Cricetulus griseus: one gene and its partner. The protein of the gene in region 1 purifies or fractionates together with the protein of each later gene. This does not show direct contact. Links are inferred from orthologs where the notes say so. Each region holds a gene or a part of one and is shown on either strand. Other genes may lie near its edges.

Region 1 (3,520 bases):
AGTCAAGCTGGACCCCGAAGCATCAGATTCAGGGAAAGGAGGTACTCCACCCACATCTCACACACATCCCCCAACAGCCACGAAGGATGCTGAAGAAGGATCGAAGAGCGAAAACTGCAAGAGGAATGAATGCACCTTGTCAGGGTTCGGGACCGGCAAGGGACAGGAGCATTCAGGAACTCTGCAGCAGCGCCAGAGCTGCGGCTCAGCAGGACAGGCCTCTCTAGAGCTCCGAAGAAAAGCAAACAGTTCTCCCGGGTCTTCCTAGATTCCAGCGCCCTTTTAGAAAACTCTGTCCCCTGGTGCACTAAACTTCAAGCGGGGCCGGGGTGGGGGATGTTGCTCCCTGGCAGCGCCGGAGCAGCGGCGCCGCAAGGGTTAAGCCAGCTTGTCCCAGCTGACAGTCAGCTGATTGGGCTGTGATTGACAGCTCCGAAAAGTTTCCTTGTTTCTATACTATTATGCTAATCGCGGCCGCTCTCGCCGCCTCCCATTGGAGGAGAGTGCCAGTCAATTTCCCATTTGAGTCTGACGTCACGGGTGCTATAAAACTCAGCAATTGCTTTAAACTCTTCTCGCTGGATCAGAGGCTTTAAAATCTTTTTTCATCTTGGAGCTGTAGCTCGGGCTGCTAGTCCGCTCGGCCTCTCCCCCCACCCTTTTGCTCTCGCCTCGCCTTGGCCCAGGACTTTGCAATTTTGCTTTTAAAAAAAGGCCAAGAAAAAAAAAAGAAAAAAAAAAAAGGCAAGAAAGAACTAAACTCCCCCTCCCTTGCTCCTGCGGGCCTGCCTGCACCTCGGTCTTGCACTTTGCACGGAGGGAGAGGGTGAGAGAGAGAGCGCGCGCACGCGAGGGATCCGGAGAAAGAAAATAATAATAGTAATCATAAGAGCCAGGCAGAAGAGGAGAGAAGAAGTGTTAACTACCCAGGTGCCGAGGCCCGCACCTCCGGGACAGACACCCGTCGCGCCACCCAGTCCCGGAGCAGCCGCTGCGCGCGCCCCGCCTGCAACCCAGCCGGCTTAGGCGAGCCCTCCTTATGCAAAGCGCGCAGCGGAGCGGCGAGCCGGGGACGCCGCGCACCGGGCCGGGCTCCTCCGGCATCCTCTCCGCCGGCCTCATCTCCACCGCCGCTGCTAGCTGCGGAGGACCTTCCCGAGCTTGAAGCGCCCGGGATCGGAGCTCAGGGAAGCGAGCAGGCGAGGAGGGGGCCCGGGGCGAGCGGGAGAGAGAGAGAGAGAGAGAGAGAGAGAGAGAGAGAGAGAGAGAGAGAGAGAGAGAGAGAGAGAGCAAGAGAGAAAAGAGAGAGAGCACATTGGCGTGAGCAGGGGGGAGGGAGGCGGGCGCGGGGGCTGCGGGCAGGGCGGGGGGTGTGTGCACGCTCGAGCTTTCGGGCCACAGCCACCGCCGCGCGAGCTAGAAGCGCCCTAGCCCGGCAAGCTGGCTCACCCGCTGGCCACCCAGCACAGCCCGCTGGCCCCTCTCCTGCAGCCCATCTGGCGGAGCGGCGGCGGCGGCGGCGGCGGAGGCAGGAGGATGGCTTCAGAACTGGCAATGAACAATTCCGACCTGCCCACCAGTCCCCTGGCCATGGAATATGTTAATGACTTCGATCTGATGAAGTTTGAAGTGAAAAAGGAACCGGTGGAGACCGACCGCATCATCAGCCAGTGCGGCCGTCTCATCGCTGGGGGCTCGCTGTCCTCTACCCCCATGAGCACGCCCTGCAGCTCGGTGCCCCCGTCCCCCAGCTTCTCGGCGCCCAGCCCGGGCTCGGGCAGCGAACAGAAGGCGCACCTGGAAGACTACTACTGGATGACCGGCTACCCGCAGCAGCTCAACCCCGAGGCGCTGGGCTTCAGCCCGGAGGACGCGGTCGAGGCACTCATCAGCAACAGCCACCAGCTCCAGGGTGGCTTCGATGGCTACGCGCGGGGAGCACAGCAGCTGGCCGCAGCGGCGGGGGCCGGCGCCGGCGCCTCCCTGGGCGGCAGCAGCGAGGAGATGGGCCCCGCCGCCGCCGTGGTGTCCGCCGTGATCGCCGCGGCCGCCGCACAGAGCGGCGCGGCACCGCACTACCATCATCACCACCACCACGCCGCGGGGCACCACCACCACCCGACGGCCGGCGCCCCGGGAGCCGCGGGCAACGCGTCCGCCTCTGCGGGCGGCGCGGGTGGCGCGGCGGCGGCCCGGCCAGCGCCGGAGGCGGGCGGCGGCGCGGGGCGGCGGGGGCGCGGCGGGGCGGGGGGCGCCCTGCACCCGCACCATGCTGCGGGAGGCCTGCACTTCGACGACCGCTTCTCGGACGAGCAGTTGGTGACCATGTCGGTGCGCGAGCTGAACCGGCAGCTGCGAGGGGTCAGCAAGGAGGAGGTGATCCGACTGAAGCAGAAGAGGCGGACCCTGAAAAACCGCGGCTATGCCCAGTCCTGCCGCTTCAAGAGGGTGCAGCAGAGACACGTCCTGGAGTCGGAGAAGAACCAGCTGCTGCAGCAGGTCGACCACCTCAAGCAGGAGATCTCCAGGCTGGTGCGCGAAAGGGACGCCTACAAGGAGAAATACGAGAAGTTGGTGAGCAGCGGGTTCCGAGAAAACGGCTCAAGCAGCGACAACCCGTCCTCTCCCGAATTTTTCATGTGAGTGTGACACGCGATCCCAGCTAGCCACCTTGTTAAATGCTCCGTGGGGGTCCGGCTTCTGAGTGGGCTTGCTAGTTGCAGGGCCACGCTCGCCACCACCTCGCCCCCTCCCCTGGCGAGTTTGCTCCCCTTGGCCTTGCACACACAGAGAGACACACACAGACACGGACACACACACACACACACACACACACACACACACACACACACACACACACACACCAAACTTGTGGTGGTGGTGGTGACTGTTTTGAATTGGGGAGGGGAGGGGTGTCTGGCTCATGGATTGCCAACCTGAATTCCCCATAACTTGCTAGCTTGGTTGTTTTGTTCTTTTTTTTTAAAACACCCCCCCCCCCCCCGCTCCACACACACACAGATACATACACACCCGGGACTTGCACAAGGGTCAAAGATCTGAGCAGAGTACTTCATGTAGGACATAGCTCACCTTTGAATCCGGCCATCAATCGCCCGTATTTTTTTTTTTTTCTTTCTTCTTTTTTCAGTTCATGAGCTGGTGTTCATTCTCTGTGTGTGTGTTTATTTTGTTTGGATTTTCTTTTGTTTTTTTTATTTGTTTTTGTTTGTTTTTTGGAGCTTGCCGTGTTTCCCAACCTCCACCCTCATTCCCTCTGCACCATGTTCTTGAGATAAAAGAACAGCAGGTTTTTTTTTCTCCTTCTGAGTTCTTCTGTGAGATTGAGCTTGCAAAGGAAAACAAAACAAAACAAAACAAAACAAAACAAAAAAAATGTGAAATGCTATAGACCTTGCAGCGTGCTGAGTTCCACCGGGTTTTTTTTTTTTTAGCATTGTTATGCTAAAACAGAATGAACTAAAGCCCCTCCTGAACCTGCCACAATCAAGCCTGCATC
Region 2 (3,225 bases), on another chromosome or scaffold:
CCCGGTGTTTCGATATTCTGACGTTTCTCCCTTCTTGTAGCAACGTTCTAGGGGGTTCCGGGGGCTCAAACGTCCCGCCTGTTGCTCGACAGTTGAGATGTTGAGCCTCGCGCTCAGGGAAACCAAAGGGCTGGCAGCAATATGGCCCTAAACCAGTCTCACTGGGACTGAGCACCTCTCCAAAGGAGAGGCCCCCTTTCCCCACAGCACAAGGCAAAAAGCCATGGTCGAGGAGCCCTTCCAGCAATCACTAGGGAAGGGCCCAAGTGTTTCACAAACGTTTCGGGTGATTACTGGGTCCCTCTCTTGTCAGGTCTTGGCCAAATGGAGCAAAGAGTGGGATACACTGGCGTGCAGGAAGGGAGGTGGCAGACTGGCTGTTGTCTTGTAAAGCCTGTCAGCTAATACCATCTGACTGCCCACTGCCTGCTCTAGACCCTCTATTTATCCTGTAACACTGGGGCTGGACCAAGTACATGGTCAGTAGAGGGGGGAAGCAGCCACTTCCCCACCTCACAGTTTTCTGGGCACTTTTAGAACTAAAGACAAAATTCCCCAGGGTGGGAGGGTGGAGGCAGGGCAAAGGACCCCAGTTGGGCCTCTCTGAACCTGTCTGCCCCCCACATCAGTAACTTTACTCAGGGAAAGTAAGTTTGCCATGAAGAACTAAACAAAACCAGCCAGTCATTGTACTTTTATTCACATCATGTATTTTGGCATTTTTCCAGAGGACCAAAGACACAGAATGGGAGGCTGAGGCAGAAGAACAAAGGGGGAAGGTGTCCCTATTTCCCTCCTATCCTTCTCTGCCCAACCACGAGGGAGCAAACACATAAGGGAAGGGGAGGGGAGGGGAGGGGAGGCACAGTCGCTCCCTCCCCTGGAAGGATGCATAAAGCCACACCCACGCACACACAGTTAAGACCCCTCCCAACTCGAGGGGCTGGGTCATCACAGAGAAGCAGAGCACTGTGGATTCCAGGGGCAGGGAAAGGAAGCAACAAGGTCCCAGTGTGGACAGGCAGTCGGCCCCTTCCTGTCCCATCCCTGCTCTATCCCCAAAGTCTACTGAGTACCCCTTCTCTTTGCTTGGCCATTCTCCTACCGCCTCCAGCTCTTTCCGGCTGCTGGGGACAAAAGGAAAAAGGGTACAGAGCAGGGGGCTTAAGTCCATCCCTCAACCCCATCCCTCATGCCAGATGGTCTGTCCCCTGCCCGAAGTGGTAAGGGTTGAGGTCAGGCTCTTAGCTGACCACTCTCTGGTAGAAGTAGATGTAGCCCAGGTCCTTGGGTGGCTTTTCAGAGGCACACACTTTCTGGTCATTGTAGATCACCCATCTGGAAAATGGGGGAAGGGACAGAGAAGGAAGGATGAACAAAGTGGGCATCCAAGCTGTATCATGTTCATCTCTCAGGTGCCCACCTGAGATCTCTGAGGTGTTTCTGGGGAAGGATCCCAACTTTCATTTAATGCTGAGATCCCCAAATCTATAGTCCAGCTAGCAGTCTGAAAGGAACTTCAAAATCCCTTAAGAGTCATTTTCCATTTGGAGTCTTCAGATTGTTACTTAGAAACAGGATCCCAACAGCTCTGGCTATCCTGGAATACTATGTAGACCAGGCTGGCTACAAACTCAAAGATCTATCTATTTCTGCCTCCACAATGCTGGGATTAAATATGTATACAACTACATCATGCCATCCCCCCCCCCCAGCGTTTCTCTGTGTAACAGCCCTGGCTGGCCTGGAACTCACTCTGTGACCAGGCTGGCCTCAAACTCAAGAGATCCAACTGCCTCTGCCTCCTGGGTTCTGGGATTAAAGGTGTGCATCACCATTCCCAAACAGATTGTATTTTCAATAATTACAATAATTTATTTTGCACTAAAGTGTACACAGAGGTCAGAGAGGGTAGTTTTCTGGTTCTGGGAATCTATCTCAGGCTGTCAGGACTGAGGTAGTGTCTTTACTCATTAAGATCTTGTCAGCCTATTGCATTTTTTATAATCATCTTCCACCCATTCCTGTGAAGCTGGAGGAACCAGAGAGACCAACATTTTCTATCCTTTTACTTTTTAAATTTTATTTTATGTGCATTGGTGTGAGAATGTCAGATCCCCTGTAACTGACAGTTACAGACAGTTGTGAGCTGTCATGTGGGTGCTGGGAATTGAACCCAGGTCCTCTGGAAGAGCAACCAGTGCTCTTAACCACTGAACCATCTCTCCAGCCCCCTCCTTTTTCTTTTTTAAAAAAGGATTGTGTGTGTGTGTCTGTCTGTCTGTCTGTCTGTCTTTGGAGTGTATGCACATGAGTGAAGGTGCTCATGAAGGCCAAAAGAAGATGCTAGATCCCTGGAAATAGAGTTTCAGATACTTGTTAGCCTCCATTTGGTTGCTGGGAACTGAACCCAGGTCTTCTGCATGAGCTTAACCAATAAGCATCTCTGTAGGCCACCCCCACCCCTTTTGGTGACAGAGTCTCATAGAGCCCAGGCTCACTTTAAAATCATTCACCATGTAGCCAAGGATGAGCTTCAACTACTCACCTGCCTCCACCTCCAATGCTAGCACCGTGGCTATAAGCCACTACACAGAGCTACTGACTAGCATTTTCATTGAATAATTACAGTCTTTGCCACAATTATTTAACTTTACTGCTGTCGAAGGTGATCCATAAACATGAAATGACTATGTACTAGTAAAACTTCATTTACAAAAGCGGACAGCCAGATTCAGCCCTGGGATGTGGCTTGCCTATTCCTGGGGGGAGGCGTTTTTTTTTCCTGCCTTCTCCTACAAATATTCTAGGGACTTCCAGGTTGCCCTTCCTCATTCCCACCAGCACCTCTTCATTCACAGTGCATATTGCTAGCCACTTACCTGCCTTCCTTCTTGATGTGGCAGACATAGTGACCACACATAGTAGAAGTCCCCATGTGACTAATGAAGGCAAAGAGCTGATACTCTGGGGAAGAAAAGAAAGATAAAGCAGACGAGCAAACATGAGGTTCCTGTGTAGACAGCATTTAACAGCTCAAACTCAGGACAAGAATTTCAGGGAACATGGGGCAAAGCTTCTAATCCCTCAGACAGGAGGGCACAGTGCTGGAATGAGGGGCCTCAGGTTTGCCCTCATGCTGGGGGACACTTACTTCCAGGACCATCCCGGACTTTAGGTCCCACAGGTACAGATTCAGAGATGGAGTCAGCAGCTGAGCGTCCC

What was found. The genes of interacting proteins can lie anywhere in the genome.
Region 2: the proteins of transcription factor Maf (region 1) and Usp5 purify together in Homo sapiens (affinity purification with western blotting; 3 studies listed by BioGRID, with this or other methods). This does not show direct contact. The link is inferred for Cricetulus griseus from reciprocal best matches to the Homo sapiens genes MAF and USP5.

Annotation. Positions count from the first base shown.
Region 1 is NC_048596.1:192,288,580-192,292,099, reverse strand, and holds transcription factor Maf, read left to right. Parts: upstream 1-1,536; coding exon 1,537-2,643; 3' UTR 2,644-2,806; downstream 2,807-3,520.
Region 2 is NC_048601.1:21,600,216-21,603,440, reverse strand, and holds the end of Usp5 (ubiquitin carboxyl-terminal hydrolase 5), read right to left. Parts: coding exon 3,155-3,225; intron 2,968-3,154; coding exon 2,883-2,967; intron 1,339-2,882; coding exon 1,245-1,338; 3' UTR 680-1,244; downstream 1-679. UniProt on the Homo sapiens protein: Deubiquitinating enzyme that participates in a wide range of cellular processes by specifically cleaving isopeptide bonds between ubiquitin and substrate proteins or ubiquitin itself.